7 linked regions of the Oryctolagus cuniculus genome follow. The protein of the gene in region 7 interacts with the protein of the main gene of each other region in a pairwise test. Links are inferred from orthologs where the notes say so. Each region holds a gene or a part of one and is shown on either strand. Other genes may lie near its edges. The genes, in order: DYDC1; keratin, type I cytoskeletal 16; CDR2; keratin, type I cytoskeletal 15; NME7; MKRN3; TCHP.

Evidence for each region.
Region 1: the proteins of TCHP (region 7) and DYDC1 interact in binary tests that used the Homo sapiens proteins (3 or more experiments, as listed by UniProt). The two-hybrid records come from large-scale screens. The link is inferred for Oryctolagus cuniculus from reciprocal best matches to the Homo sapiens genes TCHP and DYDC1.
Region 2: the proteins of TCHP (region 7) and keratin, type I cytoskeletal 16 interact in binary tests that used the Homo sapiens proteins (3 or more experiments, as listed by UniProt). The link is inferred for Oryctolagus cuniculus from reciprocal best matches to the Homo sapiens genes TCHP and KRT16.
Region 3: the proteins of TCHP (region 7) and CDR2 interact in binary tests that used the Homo sapiens proteins (3 or more experiments, as listed by UniProt). The two-hybrid records come from large-scale screens. The link is inferred for Oryctolagus cuniculus from reciprocal best matches to the Homo sapiens genes TCHP and CDR2.
Region 4: the proteins of TCHP (region 7) and keratin, type I cytoskeletal 15 interact in binary tests that used the Homo sapiens proteins (3 or more experiments, as listed by UniProt). The two-hybrid records come from large-scale screens. The link is inferred for Oryctolagus cuniculus from reciprocal best matches to the Homo sapiens genes TCHP and KRT15.
Region 5: the proteins of TCHP (region 7) and NME7 interact in binary tests that used the Homo sapiens proteins (3 or more experiments, as listed by UniProt). The two-hybrid records come from large-scale screens. The link is inferred for Oryctolagus cuniculus from reciprocal best matches to the Homo sapiens genes TCHP and NME7.
Region 6: the proteins of TCHP (region 7) and MKRN3 interact in binary tests that used the Homo sapiens proteins (3 or more experiments, as listed by UniProt). The two-hybrid records come from large-scale screens. The link is inferred for Oryctolagus cuniculus from reciprocal best matches to the Homo sapiens genes TCHP and MKRN3.

What each region holds. Positions count from the first base shown.
Region 1 is NC_091446.1:71,135,142-71,137,906, forward strand, and holds part of DYDC1 (DPY30 domain-containing protein 1), read right to left. Parts: intron 2,463-2,765; coding exon 2,358-2,462; intron 1-2,357. UniProt on the Homo sapiens protein: Functions as part of axonemal radial spoke complexes that play an important part in the motility of sperm and cilia. Plays a crucial role during acrosome biogenesis.
Region 2 is NC_091448.1:21,051,123-21,055,315, forward strand, and holds the start of keratin, type I cytoskeletal 16, read left to right. Parts: upstream 1-1,393; 5' UTR 1,394-1,478; coding exon 1,479-1,997; intron 1,998-2,438; coding exon 2,439-2,521; intron 2,522-2,619; coding exon 2,620-2,776; intron 2,777-2,889; coding exon 2,890-3,051; intron 3,052-3,143; coding exon 3,144-3,269; intron 3,270-3,542; coding exon 3,543-3,763; intron 3,764-3,840; coding exon 3,841-3,887; intron 3,888-4,009; coding exon 4,010-4,125; 3' UTR 4,126-4,193. UniProt on the Homo sapiens protein: Epidermis-specific type I keratin that plays a key role in skin. Acts as a regulator of innate immunity in response to skin barrier breach: required for some inflammatory checkpoint for the skin barrier maintenance.
Region 3 is NC_091450.1:16,880,403-16,883,902, reverse strand, and holds part of CDR2 (cerebellar degeneration-related protein 2), read right to left. Parts: intron 2,262-3,500; coding exon 2,149-2,261; intron 1-2,148.
Region 4 is NC_091448.1:21,109,378-21,113,408, reverse strand, and holds the start of keratin, type I cytoskeletal 15, read right to left. Parts: upstream 2,801-4,031; 5' UTR 2,725-2,800; coding exon 2,200-2,724; intron 1,359-2,199; coding exon 1,276-1,358; intron 1,175-1,275; coding exon 1,018-1,174; intron 733-1,017; coding exon 571-732; intron 473-570; coding exon 347-472; intron 244-346; coding exon 23-243; intron 1-22.
Region 5 is NC_091438.1:29,352,378-29,356,315, reverse strand, and holds the start of NME7 (nucleoside diphosphate kinase homolog 7), read right to left. Parts: upstream 2,801-3,938; 5' UTR 2,647-2,800; coding exon 2,644-2,646; intron 1-2,643. UniProt on the Homo sapiens protein: Possesses an intrinsic kinase activity. Displays 3'-5' exonuclease activity with a preference for single-stranded DNA. Does not seem to have nucleoside diphosphate kinase activity.
Region 6 is NC_091443.1:13,380,130-13,384,353, reverse strand, and holds the start of MKRN3 (probable E3 ubiquitin-protein ligase makorin-3), read right to left. Parts: upstream 2,801-4,224; 5' UTR 2,680-2,800; coding exon 1,132-2,679; 3' UTR 1-1,131. UniProt on the Homo sapiens protein: E3 ubiquitin ligase catalyzing the covalent attachment of ubiquitin moieties onto substrate proteins.
Region 7 is NC_091452.1:18,803,129-18,806,628, forward strand, and holds part of TCHP (trichoplein keratin filament-binding protein), read left to right. Parts: intron 1-325; coding exon 326-407; intron 408-1,754; coding exon 1,755-1,940; intron 1,941-2,474; coding exon 2,475-2,618; intron 2,619-3,303; coding exon 3,304-3,336; 3' UTR 3,337-3,500. UniProt on the Homo sapiens protein: Tumor suppressor which has the ability to inhibit cell growth and be pro-apoptotic during cell stress. Inhibits cell growth in bladder and prostate cancer cells by a down-regulation of HSPB1 by inhibiting its phosphorylation.

The sequences.
Region 1 (2,765 bases), on a different chromosome or scaffold from region 7:
GCTTCGGATTGGCGCAGCACCGGCCGTAGCGGCCATTTGCGGAGTGAACCAATGGAAGGAACACCTTTCTCTTTGTCTCTCTCTCTCTCTCTCACTGTCTACAACTCTACCTGTCAAATAAATTTTAAAAAAGAAGAAGAAGCATTTGGAGAACCAATGCCATGTTCTCAAATTGTTATTTATGCTGGCACCGCGGCTCAACAGGCTAATCCTCCGCCTTGCGGCGCCGGCACACCGGGTTCTAGTCCCGGTCAGGGCGCTGGATTCTGTCCCGGTTGCCCCTCTTCCAGGCCAGCTCTCTGCTGTGGCCCGGGAGTGCAGTGGAGGATGGCCCACGTGCTTGGGCCCTGCACCCCATGGGAGACCAGGAGAAGCACCTGGCTCCTGCCTTCGGATCAGTGTGGTGCACCGACCGTGGCGGCCATTGGAGGGTGAACCAACGGCAAAAGGAAGACCTTTCTCTCTGTCTCTCTCTCACACTGTCCACTCTGCCTGTCAAAAAATTTAAAAAAAAAATTGTTATTTATATGACAAGCCTGGAGACGACACTGCTCTTACGGCACAAGCTCTAGAGCAGCTTTGGTGCAGAAAGTGTCTCCAACGCCACAGAAGAACCGGTTGTGGTCCGCAAGGCCAGAGTAAGGCAAGGCACTCAGCAGAACGCAGCAGTGGCTTCTATTAAAGGAAAAAATCCCCCAAGCAACAGAAAAGGTAGCCAAGCAGCACAGGACTCCCTCTGTTTCCAGACATCTACTTCTCCCCGACACACCACGCAAGGAGCTCCACCCACTTCTAGCTCACAAATCGTGGCCCAAGTTACAGGGGGTGTCCAGAGAAAAGCAGATATTACAACTCCACAGCTTCAGTAGTTAAAGCCAATAGTGCATCTTCTCCAAAACTTACAGGAAAAAAAAAATCAGTAGGAATGCCACAGACAAAAGAAACTGTGCTGAAGGATATTTTGCCGGACTCTCAGCAGCAATGTGAAGCTTTAAAGAGTGTTAAAGCAACCGAACAATTGAGGCACCGGAGTGAGGTTTTTTTGTTTTTTTTTGTTGTTGTTGTTTTTTTTTTTTTGTTTTTGACAGGCAGAGTGGACAGTGAGAGAGAGAGACAGAGAGAAAGGTCTTCCTTTTGCCGTTGGTTCACCCTCCAATGGCCGCCGCGGCCGGCGCGCTGCGGCCGGCGCACCGCGCTGATCCGATGGCAGGAGCCAGGAGCCAGGTGCTTCTCCTGCAGGAGTGAGGTTTTTAAAGGGGCACTTATCATATGCATGGCCCTTCTCTGATCTCTGTTGATGCTAATGCTTTGGGACTCCATAACTACCATGATATTGTCAAAAATCCAATGAAGCTTGGAACTATTAAGGTAACTGTTGTCCTAGCAGGTGGAACATCTCTTCTTGATGATAAAAGTAAATTGTCATTATAAAGAAATTTAAAAATGCAGAAAAGATTAATTTAAACCGCCAGGAAAAATAAAATAGAATGCAGTTCTGACCATATCAACCCCTATACAGTAAAATATAAGCCTCGGAGCAGGAGCTGCAAGTTCTTTTACAGTCTGAGCCCTGACGCCTCCCTTCCTCACCTCTGCAGTCTCTCCTCCCCGACTCTCTACACCTTCTGTGCTCTCAGCACTGAGCTACGAATCACTGACTTCCCTCCCGAGTCCTCGCTGACCAAGGCTCCTCCACGCCTCTGCCTTTCCCACTTAGTGCACACTGACTACAGGAGCCAAACGCACCTCCCTGCCAGGACAGCGCTGGTTCACACCTGCTGATCGGGCTCCTTTTGTTCTCAAAAGCAGGCTGGTTTGGACAGCACATCGTCTTGTCACTCCAGTAAGCACCATTAAATACGCGTCCGATTTAACTGTCTGTTTCCCCTCTAGACGGCAAACTCCACAAAGAAATATCTACCACAGTCACGACTGCATCTGCCACAGTGGCAGGCACATGCCATGAAGCATACACTCGCATTAGGATTTTATTTGTTCTGGGCTTTGCTACTGTAAACCAAAATAGTCTCCCCTGAAATTGAATATGATGTATTTCACAAAATAATTTTAAATACATATTTTGAAGAGGCTTTGAATTTTTCCAAAGTCTAACTCCAAATATGCAGACAACCATGACTCAGCCATAGATACAGGTATATAGATAAACACAGATTTGAATATGCCAGTTACACGTTAGTTAGCAAAAGGGCGAAATGCCAGTTAGGACTATGGTCAGCAACCGGGCAGCTGGTTTTCTTCCTATGAAGCAAAAATCCATTTGCCAGCAAAGCTTGGCCTCGTTTGCGCTAGACTTTACCAAAGGGGGAAAGCATTGTTTTTAAGATTTAGATGCTTACATCAGACAGCATTGGTTCATCAAGTTCTTCCACTCTGCTCAAATTTGGTGCTCCATATCGATCGCTAATTTCAGCTAGGGTTTTGCCCGAGTCTAGGAGTGATTCCTGCACTCAAAAAAATCATTTTTACTTTTAAATCACTTCAAAATTAATATATTACTTTTCTTTCAATTTTTGTAAAAAATTTCTGAATTACAACATCAAAATTCAGCATTATTATTTAAAACAATTAACCAATACCTCTTAATGACAATGGAATTCTAGTAATAATTGCTAAAACATAAAAGTACATGCACAAATTTAAAATATATAAGAAATATGGTGAATATCTCAGGATACTCTCTTTAAAAATACAAACAACAGGGCTGGCACTGTGGCACAGTGGGTGAATGCCCTGGCCTGCAGTGC
Region 2 (4,193 bases), on a different chromosome or scaffold from region 7:
AGCCCTGGCTGTTGCGGGCAGTGTGGAGTGAACCAGTAGATGGAAGACCTCTGTCAGCCTCTGAATTATAAATAAATAAATAAATAAATAAATAAATAAATAATAAGATGGGGGGTGCTGAGACATGGAGGGAAGGTGGTGCAGGACAATGGAGTGGGCCCGGGCTGGGGGAGCAGGCGGGCCGGGCTCCAGTGTCAGGTCCATGCTACTGGGCATCCTGTGAGCTCTCCTGTGAGTGTCCCAGCGCCCTGGTCTGAGCTGGCGGCAGGAGTGACACCGGCTTGCAGAACTGAGTGGCACATGTCAGGCACCCTGAGACATGCCCAAGCCAGGTGGGGCCCAGAGACTAAGGCTGAATGACTGAATGTCTTGGGAACTGGGGACGTGAGAAGAAAGAGCTGGGGCTGTGTCTGTGCGGGGGCTCTGAAGTCCCTGGCAGGGTCAGGGGTCACATGCAGCATTAGTGCAAGACAGGGCCTGCCTCCCACCGTGCAGGTGGGTGGCCGGGATTAGGTGAGGGCAGCAGGGGGAGTGGAGAGGCCATATGCTGGGGGCGGCGTGTGGGTGCAGGGTCCTGCCTGGAGGTGTGGGGGGGACCCCAGACTGTAGCGGTGAGCTTGAGGGGGCAGCTGGACTGGAAATGAAGGCTGAGGGGCAGGGCTGGGGGGTGGTCCTCTGTGGCTGGTGCTGTGTCTTCCCCTTTTACAGATGAGAAAACTGAGGCTTGGTGGGGCTGATGGACCTGCCTGTGCTGTGCAGCTAGCAGGGGCCAGAACAGGAGAGCACCTCCCCGACTGGCTCTGCAGGGCCTGCTCTGCACCTCACAGGTGGTCTCTCAAACAGGGAGTAGACCCAGCAGGGGAAAGAGACTGGAGAGGACTCCTTAATCACTCAGGCCCCGGGAAGGGAGGGGAGGGGCCTCAGGGCACACAGCAAGCAAAGCACAGTGCAGCCACAGCCCAGCCAGCCCCCTAGCTGCAGCCCAGGACGCCCCAGGAAGGCATCGCTGACATCTCTAAGTGAAGGCTGTCACCCGTGGCGCGGGGTGGGGGGGCCGGCAGTCCCTCTGACTCACAGCCCACTAGGACGCGGCTGTCACAAAGTGAACTGTGCCCAGGCCCTGCCAGCCCCGGGGGCTCCAGGAACGGGAGCCGGGTTTCTGGCCGCCCAGCCTGAGTCACAACACATTTGTGTTTGTGCATTTTTCTCCCAGCCCCACACCCCCCGATCTGGGTGGGAACTCGAACCGGCACACAGCGAAGTGAGTCGGTCCCAGCTGAATAATCTGGAGTGGGAAGTTGGGCCGGGCCATGTGACGAAATCCCCAGGGAGCCTGGAGTCAGCAGTTGGCAGGGCCCCGCCTTCCCGGGCGCCTATAAAGCATCTGGGGCTGAGGCAGCCACAGCATCCTCTCTCAGCCTCCCCAGCACCTCGCTCTTCTCAGCCGGCTCCTCGCTCTCGCACCACCTCTCGGCACCATGACCTCCTGCAGCCGCCAGTTCACGTCCAGCTCCATGAAGGGCACCTGTGGCATCGGAGGCGGCTCCAGCCGCATGTCCTCCGTCCTGGCCGGAGGATCCTGCCGGGCTCCCAGCGCCTACGGGGGCCTGTCTGTCTCCTCCTCCCGCTTCTCCTCTGGGGGAGCCTGTGGGATCGGGGGTGGCTATGGTGGCGGCTTCAGCAGCAGCAGCGGCTTTGGTGGCGCCCTGGGTAGCGCCTATGGTGGAGGATACGGTGCTGGCCTTGGTGCTGGCTTCGGTGCTGGTTTTGGTGCTGGTTTTGGTGGTGCTGATGGTGGCCTCCTCTCTGGCAACGAGAAGATCACCATGCAGAACCTCAACGACCGCCTGGCCTCCTACCTGGACAAGGTGCGCGCCCTGGAGGAGGCCAACACCGAGCTGGAGGTGAAGATCCGGGACTGGTACCAGAAGCAGCGGCCCACTGAGGTCAAAGACTACAGCCCCTACTTCAGGACCATCGAGGAGCTGCGGAGCAAGGTGGGCGGTGCTGGGGGCTGCAGCCCTAAGAGGGGTCTTTAGGACACCTCTGTGTAGCAAACAGGGAGACCGAGGTGCTTCAGGGGAGTGCCAGGGCACCCAGGGAAGTGGTAGCAGAGGGTCCCTTTTGAGCATTTCTGTGTTGGAGCTGGGGTTGGGCCTGAGTCTTGGATTCCCTGCAAGCGTTCCCTGCACTGTAGCAGAACTCAGCTTCTCAGGCTTCCCAGCTCAGGGTGGCAGTGGTGGGAGGCGTGGGGTACAGGTGCACTCCTACCACTCTGACATGGGTGGACAAGGCACCCCTCTCTGGCCAGGGGAGTGGAGGGCCTGACCTGCCCACTGGTGACCCCCGGGGAGGCTCCTTTTGCCCCTCTGCCCCTCACCCTTGAGCGGCATGGTCCAAGGCTGACCAGGCCTCCCGTCCGTTCACCCCCGCTCCAGATCATCTCGGCCACCCTTGAGAATGCACAGCCCATCCTGCAGATCGACAACGCCAGGCTGGCGGCTGACGACTTCAGGACCAAGTGAGCACCCTGGGGGTGGGCTGCGGGTCTGGGGAGTGGGCCGTCCACCCAAAAGATGTCAAGGATGGAACCTGAGACTCCGCCATCTGTCCTGCCAGATATGAGCACGAGCTGAACCTGCGCCAGAGCGTGGAGGCCGACATCAACGGGCTGCGCAGGGTGCTGGACGAGCTGACCCTGGCCAGGACCGACCTGGAGGCGCAGATCGAGGGCCTGAAGGAGGAGCTGGCCTACATGAAGAAGAACCACGAGGAGGTAGGGTTGCGGCTGGCTTCGGGGGTACGAGCTTGGATTGGTGGAGTTCCCAGGTCCACCTGGAGCCAGGAGCGGGGTCCGCTGAGCTGAGTGTCGCCTGCCACCCCTTCTAGGAGATGCTTGCCCTGCGGGGTCAGACTGGCGGGGACATCAGCGTGGAGATGGACGCTGCTCCCGGCGTGGACCTGAGCCGCATCCTCAACGAGATGCGTGACCAGTACGAGCGGATGGCGGAGAAGAACCGCAGAGACGCCGAGGCCTGGTTCCTGAGCAAGGTGGGGCCGGGGGCCTCGGCGCCCCCGCAGGACGCCCCAGCCAGGGGGGTCCCGGAGTGCCTCACACTCGCTGGTCCTCTCTTGCCTCTCAGACCGAGGAGCTGAACAAGGAAGTGGCCTCTAACAGCGAACTGATCCAGAGCGGCCGCAGCGAGGTGACCGAGCTACGCAGGGTGTTCCAGGGCCTGGAGATCGAGCTGCAGTCCCAGCTCAGCATGGTACGAAGCTGCAACCCCGAGTCACCGCCAGGGCCACCCCTCCACACTGCCCTCTCCCTCCTCCCTGGAACGGGACTGGAGGGATTGTGGTACCCATTATCCAGATGGAGACATCAAGGCCCAGAGTGGTGCAGTAGCTTTTCTCCATGTTTTCTGGGCCATCACTACCCAGCTGGGAGCCCAAGTCCGTGCACCTCTAGGGAAACGTGCTCCAAGACCTGGAGGGACAGGGCCGTGATCTGCAAACATTCGTTCTCTCTCTCTCTCTTGCAGAAAGCATCCCTGGAGAACAGCCTGGAGGAGACCAAAGGCCGCTACTGCATGCAGCTGGCCCAGATCCAGGGGCTGATTGGCGGCGTGGAGGAGCAGCTGGCACAGCTGCGCTGCGAGATGGAGCAGCAGAGCCAGGAGTACCAGATCCTGCTGGACGTGAAGACGCGGCTGGAGCAGGAGATCGCCACCTACCGCCGCCTGCTGGAGGGCGAGGACGCCCAGTGAGTGCGGGCCCGGCCCACCCCAGCCCCTCCCCCCAGGTCCCTGCGCATCTAACGCCCCCTTTTCTCGCCCACAGCCTCTCCTCCCAGCAAGCATCAGGTCAATCCTACTCTTCTCGGGATGGTAAGCTGAGGACTGGCCCCCTGCCTGTTCCCTGGGGGATGGGGGCCAGGCCCCGTCCCCAGCGCCCCCAGCCCTCTGTCCCCGCTGCCCTGCAGCCGGCTCAGGTCCCATCTCTCCCACAGTCTTCTCTTCCTCATCCTCGACCTCTGCCGCTCGCCAGACCCGGCCCATCCTCAAGGAGCAGGGCTCGGTCAGCTTCAGCCAGAGCCAGAGCCAGAGCCAGAGCTCCCGGAACTGAGCCGCCTCTGCCGGAGCCCCTGCCCGCGCCGGCCTCGCCCCCTAGAGGCCGGACCCGACCTGTCACCC
Region 3 (3,500 bases), on a different chromosome or scaffold from region 7:
TGGTTCACCCCTGCAAATGCCTTCTACAGCCAGGGCTGAGCCAGGCCAAAGCCAGGAACCTGGAACCCCATCTGGTTCTCCCACGTGGACGGCGTGGGATCACTTCTGTTGCCCGACAGGGTGCATCAGCTGGAAGCTGGACTGGAGGCAGAATGGCTGGGACTTACACTGGCATTCTGATGTGGGATGTGGGCATTTGAAGGCACTTTAACCCACTGCACAACAGTGCTCTCCCCTCTATGCTCTTTTGATGTACAGTGTGTTAAACAGGGTTCCTGGAGACTTCAGTATCGTTAGAAGCTAGGCCTTCCTAGAATTAGGTATGTTTTAGTCACATCACTAGCTGTATCCATAAATCCTGCTGAAGGGGAAGACCCACTGTATACACCTTAATTAGGCTACTGTGTAAAATTAATGGATATTGAGATTATAGATTTCTCCTTGTTTTGATCATGGATTTATCTGTATCCAAAAGTGGAACTTTGTGTAATGTGGTTGCTTCAAGGCAAGGACTGTATAATTCTACTTGGAATTCCCAGCACCTGGTTCAGGAAATCAGCATGTAGTAAGTACATACTGATCCTCATGAACTGCTTCCCTGTTCTAAGGTCTGTTAGTCGTGGGTCTACTGCACCAGCTGGGGGAGGGGGACTGTAATTTAGCCTGAGGCTTTTGTTGGGAGTTGTGTGGAGAAGGAAGTTCTGATGGGACAACTGCTTGATTAAGATCCACAATTATGGGGGGCTGGCACCATGGCTCATTTGGTTAATACTCCGCCTGCAGCGCCAGTATCCCATATGGATGCCGGGTTCTAGTCCCGGTTGCTCCTTTTCCAGTCCAGCTCTGCTGTAGCCCAGGAAGGCAATGGAGGATGGCCCAAGTGCTTGGGCGCCTCCACCCGCATGGGAGACCAGGAGGAAGCACCAGGCTCCTGGCTTCAGATCAGCATAGCTCGGCTGTAGCAGCCATTTGTGGGGTGAACCAACGGAAGGAAGACCTTTCTCTCTGTCTCTTTTGCTAACTCTGTCAAAAAAAAAAAAAAAAAAAGATCCACAATTATGTTCTTTACAGTCAAGTGGCCTACACACAATTGGGTCCCTGAATGGGACCAATTATAAGATAGCAGCACCTTCCATTTTAAAGCCTTAGTCTAGGATCTTTCATTTTAGTTTGTTTAAACTATGTACAACATTTTAATTTAAAAAAAGCCATCAAAAATGTAAGTAAATCAAGATCACAGCAAGGAGAAAAGAAACACATATTTGATGACTAATTCTCTGAATGGTGTAATGAGTTTAAACTTATTATGGAACAAAGTACTGTATGACTTTTTAACTAAACCCAAATTCAGGATGGAGTTTGGTAGTTGCGGGGGGAGGGAGAAACCACCAAAGAAGGGTGTAAGGGCCTCCAGAGTGTGGGAAGTTTTCTCTCTAAAGCTGGGTGGTGAGTACATGGGTGCTCACTGTATTATTCTTTCTGTACATCTACAGTAGTGCATAATTCATTTTTAAAAGAAAACAATGAAAACTAAGTGTAACATTCACAGCTTCATTTTGCTTTGCATACTGGCAAGTCTCAAGCCATGTACTTCTACAATACTTTGCCAAGGGCAGAGAGAGAAATCTCCTTCATCATAGCAGACCCATGTGTTGGGAAAACCTGAAGAAAGAACATCTGCTGGCGCCGCGGCTCAACAGGCTAATCCTCCGCCTAGCGGCGCCGGCACACCAGGTTCTAGTCCCAGTTGCCCCTCTTCCAGGCCAGCTCTCTGCTGTGGCCCGGGAAGGCAGTGGAGGATGGCCCAAGTGCTTGGGCCCTGCACCCCATGGGAGACCAGGTGAAGCACCTGGCTCCTGCCTTCAGATCAGCGCGGTGCGCTGGTTGCAGCAGCCATTAGAGGGTGAACCAACGGCAAAGGAAGACCTTTCTCTCTCTCTCTCTCTCTGTCCACTCTGCCTGTCAAAAAAAAAACAAAACAAAAAAAACAAACAAACAAAAAAAAAAAACCAACCACATCTTTGAGGGTTATTCTCGAAAAGTATGCATCTGAAATTAAATGCTGCTTCCAACCGCAAGGGTGGTTTTAGCAGTCTACGACTAGTTCAAGCTACACCTCCAGGCTAACTCTGCTGCCGAGTCAGTTACCTCAATTTCCTGTAACTGCTCCTGATTGGTTGTGTACATCTGCTGAAGCGAATCCTCCAACTCTGTGTTCCGATCCAGCAGTGTCTTCCCGAGCTCAGCAGCAAGCTGGAGATCTAGCAGAGAAGAATCTTGGCGTAATTCAAATGCTCTCACTTCAGCCTTTCATACAACCCAGTCCTTGAAATAAGAATGAACCATGTACCCACATAGCTTAAGTCAGATCCCAGTAGAAGGTGAAACTGCACAGAAAGACACCCGAGTTCCATTTAAAATTCAATTGAACTGGGTCCTTCTAGCACGTAAAGTACACTCTTATGTACCCTTATTTGTAAGAAATGAAAAACAGTCATCTGCTTTATGGAAGTAGTCATTAAGAATGATGACTGCGGGGCTAACACCCCGCATGGGCCCCTTCACTTCTAATCCAGCTCCCTGCTAAAGGCCTGAGAAAAGCTGTGGAGAACAGCCCAAGTGCTTGGGCCCCTGCCACCAGTGTGGGAGACCCAAATGAGATTCCTGGCTCCTGGCTCTGGCCTGGCCCAGTGCTTGGCCACTGCGGTCCTCTGGGTAGTGAAACAGCAGATGGAAGATCTCTGTCTCTCCCTCACTCTATAACTTTCAAAATAAATAAATCTTGTTTCAATTTTTTTAAAGATAAATTTATTTATTTGAAAGTCAGACTTACACAGAGAGAGAAGGAAAGGCAGAGAGAGAGGACTTCCATCCCCTGGTTCACTCCTCAATTGGCCACAATGGCCAGAGCTGTGCCAATCTGAAGCCAGGAATTTCCTTTGGGTCTTCCCATGTGGTTGCAGGGGCCCAAGGACTTAAACCATTTCTGCTGCTTTCCCAGGCCATAGCAGAGATCGGAAGTGGAGCAGCTGAGACTTGAACCAGTACCCATATGGGATGCCAGCACTGCAGGCTATGCCACAGCACCAGCCCCTAAATAAATCTTTAAAACAACAACACTGTTTCAGGTCTCTCATTTTTTCAACTTCTCTTCACATTCTTCAAGATCAGCACACTAGATACACAAAACAATCTATGACTTTTTTAAAGATTCATTTTATTTATTTGAAAGGCAGATAGAGAGAGAAAGAGAGGGAGAATATGAATGAATCAATCTTCCATCCTCTGATTTACTCCCCAGATGGCTGGGGTTTGCATGGAACTCCACTGGGTCTCCCACATGGTCATCATCTGCTGCTTTCTCAGGCACATTAGCAGGGAGCTGGACTGAAAGCAGAAAGCTGGGACTCAGGGGCCGCCTGCAGTGCCAGCATCCCATATGGGTGCCAGTTTGAGTCCCAGCTGCTCCACTTCTGATCCAGCTCTCTGCTATGGCCTGG
Region 4 (4,031 bases), on a different chromosome or scaffold from region 7:
CTGCTCCGCATCCCTGCCCTACTTGGCGTCCTGGCCCTCGAGCAGGCTGCGGTAGGTGGCGATCTCCTGCTCCAGCCGCGACTTGATGTCCAGCAGCCTGTTGTACTCCTGGTTCTGCTGCTCCATCTCGCAGCGCAGCTCGCCCAGCTGGGCCTCCAGGCTGCCCACGAGCCCCTGGATCTGCTGCAGCTGCGTGGCGTATCGGCACTCCACCTCCGCCAGCGAGTTCTCCAGCCCGGCTTTCTGCAGGAGCGACACATCAGGTGGGGAAGAACTCGCCCAGGGCCCTGGCCGGTGGAGGCGGGCCGGCGGCAGGCGGCGGGCAGTGGAGGGCAGGCGGCCCTACCATGCTGAGCTGGGACTGCAGCTCGATCTCCAGCCCCTGCATGGTGCGTCTCAGGTCTGTGATCTCCGTCTTGCTGCTCTGAAGCAGCTCTGTGTTGGAGGCCACCTCCTTATTCAGCTCCTCGGTCTGTGAGTCACACGCAGGAGAGAAGTGAGCCCCGGGGGCCTCCTGCGAGACCTGGGGAGCCGGGCCTGGCCGGGCAGGGTGGGGCAGGGCAGGCCCACCTTGCTGAAGAACCAGGCCTCGGCGTCCCGCCGGTTCTTCTCCGCCATGGCCTCGTACTGCTCCCTCATCTCGGCCAGCATGCGGCTCAGGTCCACACCCGGCGCCGCATCCATCTCCACATTGACCTGGCCGGCCAGCTGGTTGCTGAACTCCTTCATCTCCTGCAGGGTGGAGGAGCCGAAGAGAGAGCCGAGAGTCTGGGGTCCCGCATGCCCACCGTGGCTGTGCCCCTCACTCACACGGTCACCTTGGCCTTCACCACGCCCGCCACTGCTCGTGAGGATCTCCTGCCTGCCCCAGGCGCCACCCAGGGAGGACACAGGAGGTCAGCAGTTCACACTAGAGGACCAGAGGGCCTCTGTGCCACTAAGCACTCTACCAGCTGTGACAAAGGAAGCAGCAGCCCCCCCCGCCACGCCCACCACCACCACCACCCCCAGTCGCACCTCCTCGTGGTTCTTCTTCATGTAGGCCAGCTCTTCAGTCAGGCCCTCGATCTGCGCCTCCAGGTCGGTCCTGGCCAGGGTCAACTCGTCCAGCACCCTGCGCAGCCCGTTGATGTCGGCCTCCACGCTCTGGCGCAGGGCAACCTCGTTCTCATACCTGAGGAGAGAGAGGGATCCGGGCGGCTGAGTCGGAGGGAGAGCAAGGCCCAGCAAAGAGGAGAACGCGGGGTGGGCGGGGCGGGGGAGGCAGGTGTGCACTTGAGCCTGAAGTCGTCGGCAGCCAGCCTGGCGTTGTCGATCTCCAGGATGACCCGGGAGTTGTCGATGGTGGCGGCCAGGATCTGCAGGAGACCAGGAGCTCGGATGCCTAAGGGATTCCTCCCTCCCCTGCTGCCCTCCTGCCACCCGCCAACCCCTCGCTCACCACCTCCAGGTTGGCACCACCAAGGGAAGCCCCTGGGGCCCTTGGCGCAGCCTCACCTGAGGTGCTGCCCTCCTCGGCTCCAGGGCATGGCCTGGGACCCTACCCCCCCTCCCCACCCCGTGGGATGTGGCTGGCCAAGAATGTGCTAGAGTGAGGTGCAGTGGGCTCCAGCCGTAGCCCTCCCCAGGGTCCTCCTGCACCGGCCCCTCTGGGCACAGCTCACGGCCACTGCCCCCTACACTCCTTGACACAGCTGTGCGTCTACGGAACGTGGAGGGGGCCGAGAAGGCGTTTTAGAGGGGAGGAAACCAGTGCCAGTGAGGGAGACAGTGGCAGAGCCTGGAAAGAGCTCCCAGGTCCCCCAAGTCCTGGCAGTGTTCTTGGCACCAAAGCCCCCTGGAAGGGCGCAGCGGGAGGTCCTGGCACTCGGGGCTCCTGCGGTTACACCCCAGCACCATTCTTGCCAAGGAGGTAAAGGAACACTTTGAGCAGACTCCTGCAGGGCGTGTGGGACAGGGAGGGTGAGTCGCTCTCCATAATTGCCCCTACCTGTGCCCCTGTTGGACCTAACGGGATTCCCAAGAGCCCTCCTGCCCACACTGCCAAGGTGAGCAGATGTGCGCCAGCGCGTGCTCCTGGAACGCAGGTGCACGGCCACTCTGCCGAGGTTGCACATAACGCAGTCATCACCCAGGCAGAAGCAGACACGTGCAGGGCACCTGGCACCTGCTCCCCTCCTGCTGTCACCTGGGGCTCACCTTGTCCCGGAGCTCCTCAATGGTCTTGTAGTATTGGCTGTAGTCGCGCTCCGGGCTGCTCGGGCTCTGCTTCTGGTACCAGTCCCGGATCTTCACCTCCAGCTCGCCGTTGGCCTCCTCCAGGGCGCGCACCTTGTCCAGGTAGGAGGCCAGGCGGTCATTGAGGTTCTGCATGGTCACCTTCTCGTTGACAGAGAGGAGGCCGCCGTCGCCACCACCAAAGTCACCAAAGCCACCGCCAAACCCCCCTCCGAAGCCGCCACCAAAACCAGCACCGGCTGCTCCACCAAAGCCGCAGCTCATGCCGCCCCCATAGCCCCCTCCTGACCCCGAAGAGACAAACCTAGCAGAAGAAGCCGAGATGCTGCGACTCCCACCTCCCCCATAAAGACTCCCCCCACCAAAGCCACCTCCCCCATAAAGACTACCCCCACCAAAGCCACCTCCCCCAGCCCGGAGGGAGCCCCCTCGGGTAGAGCCTCCCCCAAAGGTGGAGGAAGAAGTTTGCAGAAATGTGGTAGCCATGGTCAGGCAGCCGGTGAGGTCTCAGCCAACACTGGGTATGCGGGCAGGTATCTGGGCTGGGACCAGAGCACAGCGCCTGTCTCCCCAGCCTGGAGCTCCTTATATATCCCTGGGGGTGGGGGGTGGGGGGTGCAGGACCATGTCTCCTCCCCCAGAGCCGAGCCAGCTCCTCTGCCCTCCCGACAAACACAGCTGCCTGCACACCTCCACGTGGCTCCTTGCAGGTTTTTTTTTTTTTTAATGCAACAAAAGATGATTCAGAATGAATGGTGTTTTGCCCCAGGCCATGATTTTAACACTTGGATTACGGGTCCATCTCTCTACTCCAGGAGAAAGGAGAGAGAGCAGCAGGGAGCAAAGTCCCAGCCAGCTGTGCCTTCGGTGGGTTTCTCCCACCCCAAGGACCCACAGCATGGGCAGACCCTGGCCACCACCATCTCCTGCCCTGGGAGCCTTGCTCCGACACAGACGGCTCCCCACTCTCAGTGGGGACTGTACTTCCCAAACCCTGCTCTGTGCTCACAGACCTGGTACATGAGCTGTGGGGCCCCGGGAGACAGGCTGAGGACAGGAGAGGAAGACTTGATCCAACTGAGGCGACCAGCATCTGTCCTTTCCCTGGGGTTCCTCTGCCTCCCTCCCTCCAACCCAAGGATCTCTCCTTCTCCTCCAGTTCACCCCAGCCTCCATGGCCTTGGCACACTTGCAAAAGCCCAGCAGGCTGAGCCCTGACAGGGGGCTGATTGATGGTGCCGCCACCTGCCAACTGCACATGTCACTGAACCTCTGCTTGCTCCCGGGACGCGTTGGGGCAAACCTCTGCAGATAAGGCCGGGGCACATTCCAGAAAGCCCCTGCCTTCTCCTGGAGAGGCATGTCGCTGCCTAGCAGGGACAGATTAACCCCCGTTTGTCCTGTCGGGCACTGCAGAGCTGAGGAGGGCCGGAGCCAGAAGTCTCAACCAGCCTGAACATTGCCAAGAGCAAAGACGTGGGGAGGCTGGTTGGCCAGAGATGTTGAAGGTCAAGTCAAACACTCAGAGAGGACAACCATCCCCTCTGCCCTCCAAGTTGGGGCCACCTGACACTGTGGTCAATGCAACGTGCAGGTGTGGCTCAGCCTCTGGCCCCCGACTCCAGAATGAACAGAAAGTCTGGGAGCAGAGAGCGAGCAAGACAAGAGAGGGAGACTCAGGAGGAGGGGGGTTTCCTGGGCCAAGGCTGCAGTGTGGTGGGGTGGACGGGGCTCTGGAATCCCTCGGGCCTGGGTTCAAATCCTGTCTCTACTGATGCCGCTTGGGCCAGCTT
Region 5 (3,938 bases), on a different chromosome or scaffold from region 7:
GACAGCCACCATCCTCAGTTGCTGATGGAGAGACCCCATCTTCACAGCCATACAGACACCAGAGGCTAGACGGAGCACGGTTGATTGCTCTCCACCCTTCCTGATGAAGGACTGACATCCAACAGCATAGGAGAGATGCTGGATACAGAAAGAAATGTGATCATTTCACTCTAGCCAATTTTCGCCTCTTGTTAAATTCCTTTCTTTGCCACACATTAAGAACACTGTCATTAGATGAAAAGACAAATCTGTATGCTTCTGATTTTAACTGCTTTGCCTTTTAAAGTATATGTTGCTCTAAGTATATAGTATCTTGAACTTTGTGGATCATGACTCACAGTAATATGTTTTATGTCATAACCCAGTACATTCACAAAATATATACAATTTAAAACAAAAGTTCATGAAAGCTACCCTCACGGCATGCAGTAGATGTGGTAAGTTTCTATGTTAGTCTTCTTTGTTAATGCTGGCTACACACCACAAATCTACTTCATGACAGAATAATAGGTCACCTCCAACAGTTTGAGAAACATAAGCCTCGCCAAGTAGATGATATATAGCTAGACAGACAGACAACAGACAGTCTGGCATCTGCATACAGACTGTATCTCATGTTATTCTGCCCCATGTACCTCCCAAAGCAGCTAACCCTGCACCACCTCACAACCCAGTTTCTATTTTTGTACTCTATTAAACCATAAGTTGCTCAAATTTATGCTTGCCCCTTTCTGCCTCAGGAACTGTGATCTTGTTAGTGCACCCTGAAGATCCAGATCAGCACGTTTTGTATCATTTAGGTCTCAATACCAAAAGTCCTTTCTTCAGAAGGGCCTTCACTGACCATCTAATTGAAAGAATCACCAACCATGAAACCCCAGCCAGGATGGGAACAAAGAAGGCAGGCAGAGCACTTTACTGCTGTTTGCTCTTAGCATTGCCGGAAACTCTGAGTGAAAACAGCAAACAAAGCAAAAAGTAGCAGACAGGAAAAATAAACAGTATTTAATGAATGTCACTTTTCAGCTCCCTATGCCACTGCACAGGTCATTGAATTCTAAGCACTGATATTCTCTACCATTTGCCACATGACGGCTTTAACGATGCTCTAGCTGAGAAGTGAGGACTCTGTCCTGCAATCTCCTTCTCGTTCAGACCACTTACCTCATTCTTTCCTCTTCTCTTATGCATTCAGCAAACATTTGAGTGCCAAATATGCTCTAAGCAATAGCAGTGAACATAGTAAACATCTATACCTCTAACAGTTCACAGTTTAGGAAGGGTGACAAAGCTATAAACAAATAATTTCAAGTAAAGGTGGTATCTACAATAAAAGAAATGTGTACTATATACAGTGGTGACAAGAAAGAATAAACAGTTACCTCTTGTGGAGTGTAGGAAAAGCCATGACAGAAAGAGAGACACTTAAGCTGAGTCTTGGAAGGATCAATAGGAGTTTCATATGCAAGAAAAGGGAAAAGGGCAGAAGCAGTACCATGTGCCAAGCAGAGGGAAGAGACATACTGCCAGTTTGAAGTTGTCTGCTATGTTCAGTAGTAAGTAGCTAAAAGGCAAACGGCTAAAAGGAGTATCCAGGAAAGGGACAGCCAAGAAAGAAGCTAGAAAGGTAAGTGCTAGCTTGTGGAGGGCCTCTTGTGTGCCATTCCAAACTTTACTGTAGGAAACGGAAGTCTAGACTTTCAAAGAGGTGAGTAGCATTAACAGATGGGAACTTAGTAACTTCTTCCTTGTGGCAGAAAAAACGATAGATTAGAAAATTGCCAGACCAGACTGTAAAAGAAATGAATATAATAGCTAACGTAAAAATGAGGAAATTCTAAACAAAAATAATGACCAATTGAATATGGGAAATGTCAGAGAAAGGGGAATGTAGGATGTCACTGATTTCTAGTTTCAGTTATAATACAGTGGTATCATTAAATAACATGGTGAAAAACAGGAGAAACCAGGCAGAAAGACAGCAAAATCACTTATAGGCTTATTGAAAATGGAAACATGGAGCCTCATCCCTATTCATGCAAAAATTTAGGAGGGAAGCTCAAGCAAGTGAATTCTAGAAGCTCTCAAGTGATCCTGAAAGTTATTCCTGTTAAGCAGCACGGACATAGCAGGTAGTCAGCTGGATGCAAGCGAGCCGATCCACTCTACAAATATGATTAAGGGGCCTTTACAGAGTGTGGGGCAGTGCTCTGGCACTCCGCGGGGCAGACTCCAGGCCCTAGCGAGATTCGGGCCAGTGTTGCCACAGTCACCTACACACCACCATCTGCCTTTTAGGTGGAACGTTACTGTGAAGTCCACAAGCCTGAAAAACGCACTGATGAATAATGCATACCCAAAAGAGGAGGCTGGTTTGAAATAATATCTCACCTGAGGCTCCGCGTCTTAACCCTAAACTTTCTGTTGCCTTACTTTAAGGGCTTACGGTAATATTAGAGCGGAATTCAGGGCGCTGCAAGAAACAGAATGGGGAGAATGCAGGGACAGCCCACGGCAAATGGGGGAGAGAGAATGGGGAGAAGACAGGGTTGCGGACGCCTCCGAGGGCCCATCGACCCAACACTTGCGAAGCTGCGTAACCAGGAACCCGGAGCGGCTCTTCTGGTCGGCCTTAGCACTCACCATAGTTTCAGGATCTCAGCACGAGGAAGCCGAGTTGCCCCAGGAAGGCACCGCCATCCACACCATCATCCGGTTACTCTGGCAACAGGGCCCCGCCCCCTGCCGGACACCCCGGGAGACGTCAGCGGTCAGCCCCTTCGTCCCTAGTGGCTGGGAGTCCTCGCAGTGACGCCCAGCTCATTGACAGATCCGCCCCTTCACGCTGTCTCCTGGGGCGACAGGACGCCTCCCGCCTCTTGCCAGCATTTTCACTTCCGTTTGGTTGGCAGATGACCCGGAAGTTTAAGTTAACACGCGGCTAGGCGCCAAAGAGCGCACTATTTTATTTTGAAATAAACCCCTCTCCAGCTTTCCATTGATGAGGCGAGACGCTGTATCGTCTGCGTTACTTGAATTTAAACGCACCACAGACTGTGTGTTCTCGCCTCTGTGGGAAGAATATTCCGGAAGTGAAACCCTGGGTAATCGGAAGTGATCATGACTGACACAGCGGCTGGTTGTCCGGAAGGCCTGGGCGGGTCTGCTTCGGCATGGGCGAGGAGCGAATCCGGGAACCTGTAACGTGAAACCGCCGAAATAGAAAAGGAATCCCGAGGTAACTTAGACGATAGGCTTGTGTAACTCCGAGGTGACGCTGGAGAGGCGCGCGCGTCGGTCGGAGCTCGGTGGCCAGTGGCGTCGGGTATAGAGAAAGAGTGGACCGGGGAGGCTTGTTGTGACAGGAACGAAACTTGGCGTTGGAATCCCCGGGACAGCCACGCCTGCAGCCTTGGTTCCTGGGCATCCTGGGTATTTGCCGTCAGACTGGCTGCTCCTGTACGTTTCGCAGCCGGTCTTCAAAGCGCGGTTTCAGGACTCGGTACGCCGGGTGCCTGTTTTTAGAGCCGTGGAATATAAGTGGAAGAGGGTTTGTGACTGTTGAGGAACCTGTCTTGGGAGGCCTTAGACTCACTGATCGTTTTTGAAGCCGGGAGTGACCTGTTCTGTTCATCACATGAGTGCCACCCTCCTTGGCATGTTTTCCGGTAAATCTGAGTATACTCTAAGGTTGTGCATACCTTTCCGAAAGTATCTGTTCCATGTGTATTTCTCTCTGTTGTTAGAAGCAACATCATTTAATTTTTTTTTTTTTTTGACAGACCTAGTGACAGAGAGTTAGAGAGAGAAATATCTTCCATCCCCCAGTTCGCTCCCCAGATAGCCTCAACGGCATGAGCTGAGCCATCAAAAGCCGGAGATGCTTCTAGGTCCCGCACGTGGGTGCAGGGTCCACTGCCTTCCAGGCGCGCTAGCAG
Region 6 (4,224 bases), on a different chromosome or scaffold from region 7:
ATTCTTTTATCTTTCCAATCTTATATCCTAACTAGTTTTAGTATTTTATTCTATTTTACATGTTGTATGCTTATTACCTTTATTTTGATAAATTTATGAAAAGCCCGTTTTCAAAGTATAAAAATAATATTTAAAAAATGAAAATGAACAACTGTATGTCTGAGCTCAGGATTTTATGTTATAATGAATGAGCTGTTGGCTCTACTGCATGGAAGTACACATTTCTGTATTTATAACAGCACAGTGAGGTCATAGGAATTACCAATGTCATGTTTCATATATCCTTTAAGACTTGTATCTGTTACACTTGGCATTACACTTGAACAACAGTTTTCATTAGGTGCTAAAAAGTGACATCTGTGCAAGGGAAAGATTATTCACACAGCAGCCAAGCCTGCTATCCCTTGACCTCAGCTTTCATCTCTGCATTTATTTTATTATGCAAACATATACATCACGATGTATATTTTATATAAATTTTCCAATACAGAGCTAATATACACAAATATGCATATATAATATATCACTTTTAAGCACATACTTCCAAATATAAATAAAATAACTTCACATCAAGTTGAACAGGATAAAAACATGTAAACATTTGCACCTGGTTTTGTTCAAGTAAAACACGAAATCACAAAGTAACCACAAGTTAACAAGTGCACTTTAAGAGATGCCAGAAGGAGCAGTGATGTAAACAAACAAAAACAAGCAAGGCCCTGCGAGTGTCCACTTCTTAAGGCTACTGTAGCAAAAAGCTTCCAGTTAAGACTTCCCTTTCACCCTGTCACATTTGTTCTTGAGGGACTTCAAAATGAGTGTAGAAATTCTGTAAACACTAGACTAGGACTGAGTGAACTTTGTTGAAAAACAGACATGACAAAAACCCCACAAAGCAACAGTCATATTAGCTCCACCAAACAGTAACTTTAAGGATTCTTTACTATTTTTTAACACATGAAACCACCATTACCCTAGGGGAAAGATTCGGGGCATAGACAAGAAAACAGAGAAACACTGCATAAAAGTCGCCACCACAGCCCCTGAAAGTGACAGGCATGTCAATAAAGGGAAAACAGCCAACAGCAGACGACAAAGCCCCAGCAGACTTGATCAGAGTGTGGCAGGATACTACAGATTCAAGTTGAAATACTCTTCCAGCTGATAATGAAGCAAGTCCCACTGCTCCTCAGAGAAGGGGAACTCGTTTCTCAGTGAAAGAAACCGCTTAAACAACAGACTGGCCAGCCGAAGCGTGACAAGCTCCTTTTTACTGCTTTTAAAGAGCAGGCTGCCCTCTCCCAGCTGCACAGGCTGCGAAAGTTGATGCCAGTATGCGGCCGACGGTCCACCACCCCGCCCCTGAGGCTCCTCTCCCTGGCCCTCAGGGTATGAATGCTTGTAAAAGCAGTGCTCTCCAAACGGGCAGTGGCCCCTGCCTTCGGCAAAATATCTGCAAGGCTTGTTGCTCAACGCCTCCTTGTACTGCTGAATAAGTCTCTGCTTCTCTTCCTCCTCCTCCACCCAGAACTCACTGGGAATGACAAAGTTGGAGGTGACTCTGCACTGTGGGCAGGACTTGACGATCCTGTTCTCAAAGTGTCTGGCACGTCTCCACCTACGGATACACTTAAGACAGAAGGGGTGGTTGCAGTTGGAAAGGATGCCAAAGCGGCGGTCGCTGGGGTTGACTTTGTCATAGACAACCTCCATGCAGATGCCACACACCTTATCCATACTGCGCTGCACGGCAAACGAGAGCTCCATATCCTTCTCGTGTGCTTCGACGCAGGCCTTTCTATGGTCTGCCCTCTGAGCGGCATCCAAGGGGTGCAAGGCCTGTAGCCCACACATGTCACATATCTCTCCGTGGAGGTACATACAGCTCTCCCCACGAAAGCACTGTCCCCTGGCAGCGTGAGGGCAAAGTTGCATCCCCATGCCCACAGCCATCTGCTGCCCCATGCCCACAGCCATCTGCTCTCTCTCAGTCACCGAGCTCTGTAGAGGAGCCTCGGGGACAGAAGCGACCCTGCGGCCCCGGTAGGGCTGCCCGGGAACAAACTCAACGGCCTCTTCCCAGCCTTCTACACCTGATCCTCCGACAGCCCCTTGACCAGCGCATTCCAACTCGGCTTCGAAGCGACCCCTTTCAGCAGCCGAGCCAATCAGAGGCAAGGAGCTTGAGGATGCAGCAGGGGCGGCTTCCGCCACTTCCTGAGTTGGGGGCTGGCTGGGCGCAGCCATGCTGGGGCCTCTGTCTGCAGAGGCCCGGGGCGGTGCGCCATGGCCCTCTCGGGCCACCTGCCTGCCAGAAAGGTCGTGAGAGTAGCGACAGTTCTCCCCCTCCTTGCACAGCCCATGCAGATAATACCTGCAGACGACTTGCTTTGTCCAGCTGCCAGTGCTCCGGCTCGGCAGGTGACTGGGCCTGGCCCCTCCCCTTGCGGCCTGGACGTGCCTCAGGCCCACCATCCGCAGATGGGCTGGGCTGGGAGCCACACGGAGAGGGACTAGGCCCAAGGCCGCGCGAGCAGGGGCTGTGTCTGGAGCCACAGATTCCCCAGAGGTCTCACACTCAGGGAGGCTGGGCCCAGATGCACCCTCCCCTGCTGCCTCAGCCCCTGCCTGGGCCCCAGATGCCTCCTGGGCACCAGAGGGAGCTGCAGGCTCTTCCATGGCAGCTTCTTCTCCCAGAAACGATTCGGGAACTTCCCCGGTGCTGTCTCCTTTTGGGCTTGAGCCCTGGAGCTCGGGACGGTCACGGAGGTGTCTTTGGGGGAAGTGTGCACCTTTTTTTCCTTTCCCCCACTCTCTGTTCCCTGTGACTGTGTGTTCCTACCTTCTTTCCCCTGCAGGCAGCGTGGCGGACACTTCCTGTGGTGGCACCGGCAGCGCGCGGCGCCGGGTCTCCACGGCCGACCAATCTGACAGCTCCTTTGTTCACACAGGCAAAGGCGGGCTCCGCGCCCCCTCCTCTGGCGTCGCTCCCTGCTCTGCTGCTTTCCCGCAGACCCCAAGCCCCCCTCCCACACTGTCTCCTCTGGCAGATGAGGTTTTAATTCCATGTCTTTAGTTTCTGCCATGCACTTCTGATTATTTGTCAAACGTGTCTGCGTAAAGAAAGTTCACGATCCTCGCTGCTTCTCCACGTGCTGATGGGCTAATCCTGCAGTTTCTGAAGCATGCCCTGCGTGGATTTTACACCGCCTTTGTCTGCGCACCGCGCATTGTCTCCACTGTGGTGTCCCGCTGCCCCCTGGCTGCCCCTGCGGGGGCTTTGTGCGCTGCGCGGCGGCCACCAGACATCGTTTCTTGGGGTCTTTGTTTGCTGCAGGGTCTGCCTGGGCTGCTGGAGGAAACGCGAGCAGGGAGCACGTGTGGCTGAGGCTGTCAGCCCCGGCCGAGGGCGTCCTTTGTGGGACTTGCAAGGCTCCTGCCCCCGGCGCGACCCGGCTTTTCTTCCCGGCTGGTTTAATTCTTGGTGGCCTTTGTTCCCTCCGCCCAGCGAGCGAGGCTGAGGCTGCGGGGTCAGCACAGCTTTTCAGGCTCGGCCGCTGCCCTGACGGTGAGAGCTGCTTTCTTCCCTTTCCTTTCACAGTCACTGTCTTTGTGCTGCTGCTTTGCTCAGGGGCGCGCGGCTGTCTGCTGAATGTTACAGGAGAGCTCTCTGCGTTTCTAAGGAGGTTATGCTCCCTCTCCCTTTAATGCCCTGAATGTGATCATTAGCACTTCCAGCATTTCAAACATTTGATTTATTCTTTGTCTCATAATTAATCCTTCCGTGTTAGGATGTGCTGACGAATTGTATTTGCTAGAATAAGTTTCTTAGAGGGAAATTTTTATAACTTAAATTTCCATTCTAAAGTGAAAAAGTCTGAATATTTATGACACATTTATCCATGTCATCAAATTAAATCCTAATTAAGTAAATATAAATTTGTACCAAATTACTTGAGAAAAAACGAACAAAGTTCGAATAACCCAGACTAGAAATTTTTAAAGTGATATCACTAATTAACAAAAGACATTAAAAAAATCATGAAAGGATATCAGGAACAAGATTAAGTCATTCTTTTAAATTTATTAGATATGGGCATATGTCTAGAACATATCAATAAAAATAAGAAAAGCATAAGAAATATGCATATAAATCTATAAATTACACATGGAATCATATAATCCTCTAATTTAAAGCTTTTAAAATATTTCCTCCAAAAATAT
Region 7 (3,500 bases):
GGAGGTCACTGGCCATGACCCCAGTGCACGGCCACAGGGCTCAGGCCCTGGCAGTGCCTTCCTCCCGCCCAGGCCTGGTGGTCTCCATCACTCCAGGGGCTGCTGTAGAAGCTGCCTGCAGTGCTTTTAGGAGATGAGGTATTGGGAAGGGGTAGCCTCAGATTCCGAGGGCAGTCCTTCCGGGAAGGTTTGCAGAGCTTGGGGGACAAGCTGACGGGAAGGTTGGTCCTCCGGAGCCTGTTGCTGGGCCCTGTGTGCTCTCTGGCTTACTGCCGGCCAGCAGCAGTGGTGCAGAGCCTCTGCCACCTGTTTCGTGTTTGCCCAGGGAGGAGGCCAAGGAGATGTGGGAAAAGAGAGAGGCCGAGTGGGCCCGAGAGCGGAGTGCACGCGACAGGCTCATGAGCGAGGTAAGCCAGCATCTCCTCCAGGCCCGGGGCCCCAGGCAGGTGTCTGGAGTCCACCGTGGAGCACTGATCCCACCGGCGCTGCTGGGGACAGTCTCTTCCAGTTATCTTACGTGGGCTTGGAAACTCTTGTTGAAAGAACTTGCAGGCCAGCACCGCGGCTCACTAGGCACCGGCGCCCCGGGTTCTTGTCCTGGTCGGGGCACCGGATTCTGTCCCGGTTGCCCCTCTTCCAGGCCAGCTCTCTGCTGTGGCCCGGGAGTGCAGTGGAGGATGGCCCAAGTGCTTGGGCCCTGCACCCGCGTGGGAGACCAGGAGGAAGCACCTGGCTCCTGCCTTCGGATCAGCGCGGTGCACTGGCCGCAGCAGCCGTGGGAGGGTGAACCAACGGCAAAGGAAGACCTTTCTCTCTGTCTCTCTCACTGTCCACTCTGCCTATCAAAAAAAAAAAAAAAAGAACGAACTTGCAGAAAGTAAAACTGACAGCACCCGAGCCTTGTCTTCGGCATAGCCACTGGCATCTTTCTTTCAACTCCTGCTTCCGTGTGTGCCGGTGCCTATTATACTGTGCCGTTCGAGGCGAGCGTTTCCACGTACTGCTCTGTGTGTAAATGCCGTGTCACGGCCAGATTGTTACCACGCGTCCTCTTGAGGGCCTCCCAGCGTGCCTTTCCATCGCTGTCTGGTGCGTTCTAGTTTGTTCTCATTCTGAGCCACTGTAAGCAATGCTGCCCGGAGTGTTTTGGGCTTTTCCACATTGAGATTTCTCCCTCAGCACGGGGAACCAGCCATGGTCTGGAGAGCACACGTGGAAGACGCCCAGTGGCTGGGTGGTCTGTGTCACCTGTGTGCCGAGAGCTCCGAGTGGCTTAGAGCAGGGAGTCCCGTGTGCCTGGCGGTGGGAACTGGGGTCTCCGTTGGTGATTTCCCACTCTTGTGAATACCAGGTGTCCCCAGTGGCCGCTGATTCTCCTCGCTCCAGCCTGGGTCCTGGTCGTGGCTGCTTTGCAGGTTCCCTCCCGAGAGCGTGACCGTAGGGTGTGTCGGTGGCTTCCCAGGCGCCTCTCTGATCCCCAAGGCCGTCCGAGGCTGGTGCAAGACATCACGCTGCTCTGGGGCCTTGAGTGGGGGATGTCACCCCATGAGCCGAGGCCCCCCCACCCCCTGTGGCCATCTGCGGGGCTTGTGGGCTTCCCCACTGCTAGGGAACGAGTCTCACTCTGCCCGAGTCTGAGTGGGGCCTGGCCGTCCTGTCGGGCTTTAGACCCGAGGCTGAGGGTTAGGTCGCCTGCGGAGCTGCCTGGCCAAGGCTTGTTCTCAAGTCTGCTTCTTCCTTCCTGCCGAGGCCAGGTCCTGGCGGGAAGACAACAGCAAATACAAGAAAAGATTGAACGAAACCGACGGGCGCAAGAGGAATCCTTAAAGCACAGGGAGCAACTCATTCGCAGTCTGGAGGAGGCGAGGGAGTCGGCTCGCCGGGAGCAGGGGCAGAGTGAAGAACAGAAGTCGGCCAGGAAGCAGGAGCTGGAAGCCCAGGTGGGCTGAGCCAGGGCCCTGGGCGGGAGGCAGCCTCTGCAGGGGACGCATCCTTGCCTCGCTGCAGGGCAGGCCTGAGGGCTGGTGCGCTTTCCGCACAGCTCGCTCGTGTTGGAGAGTGCAGTGCGCTGTGGCCCTGGGTACTGCAGCTGAAGCCCTGGCGCACCCCACACAGGGTCCTTCGCCTCTGGTGGGCACGGCTGGCCTGTCTGTCCCCTCCGTCCTGTCCGCACCTGCGGACAGGTGGCTCCTTGGGCCACAGTTCTCCATTTATTCAATTCCACAACCTGAGGTGGAACACGGAATATTCTGCCCAACACACAGCCGTGTGTGGAGCTTTGTATAAGACCCGGACGGCTGCTGGCCAAGCCTTTTCCAGTCCCCAGGGGCCCCTCCCATTTCCTGGCACCTGCCGCCCCTGCTCCTTAGAGCTCTGGTCCTCCAGCCCAGCTGGGCCCGCAGCCTCCCCTGCTGAGCAGGCGCAGGGCTGTGCCCCGGGGCCTTGCCTTGGGGTGACTTTGCTCTTGGGCCTAGGTGGCAGAGCGCCAGCTGCAGGCACGGGAGGCTGACCAGCAGGAGGAGGAGGAGCAGGAGGAGGCCAGGCAGGCAGAGCAGCTGTCGGACGCCTTGCTGCGGCAAGAGGCGAAGATGATGGCCGAGCGTGGCTACCGGCCCAAGGTAGGAGCGCGCCTCCGCGGCGTGTCCACAGCCCCGCTGAGCTGTGCTGTGCTGTGCAGTGCAGCGTCTCGGTTCTGTCTGGGCGCTCCTCTTGTGTTTGCCTCCTCCTGACTAGTAGAGAACCTCGGCGCAGGGTCTGTTTCAGTCCTTCGTTGGGCCTCCAACAGCCTTCACGCTTTTTGGCTCCTGCCACTGCAGCCCAGACTCTGATACCCCGCCGCCAAGCTGCGTGCCTGTCCAGCCTGTCCAGCCTGTCTGGGGGCCAAGAGCAATCTGAGAAGGGCGGTGGCCACAGCTGGGGAGAGGTGACAGCAGGGGCAGGCTCCCGACTGGTGAGACAGGAAAGCTGCCTGGTGCCCCACGGTGCCTTCTCGAGGTCATGAGCTGTGAGGGGAGGAGGCTGGCCCTTCCGGGTCAGGGAGTCCCAAAGCCAAGCAGAACAGAGCGAGCGGGGAGGCCACCGCAGGGAGCTCCCCTGGCCGTGCACAGCGAGTGTCTGGGGACGGGGCTTCCCAGGGCGCGCAGGAGTGTGTCAGGGCTGGTGCTTTACGGAACCACCGCAGGGAGCCTGTTTCCGTGTCGGGCAGAGCTTCCAGCTGGACGTGAAGAGCCGTTCGTGTCGTGCTCTTCGCTCTGACTTGCGGTGCTCTTCCACCGCCCCCATGTCTGCTTCCTTGTTCCTCAGCCTCGCGGACACCCCAGAATTGCCTGGGACTGACGCGGCTGGTGCCAGACGCCCGGAGAGCAACGGTGCTGGAGCCTCGACGCAGAGCCGCCCAGCAGCTGCACCAGGTTCTGTGGGGGCCGGGGCACCGGGGCCCAGGCACGGAGCTGTGGGGACGTGCAGCTCCCAGCCAGAGACCCTTCCCTGCTCTTACTCAA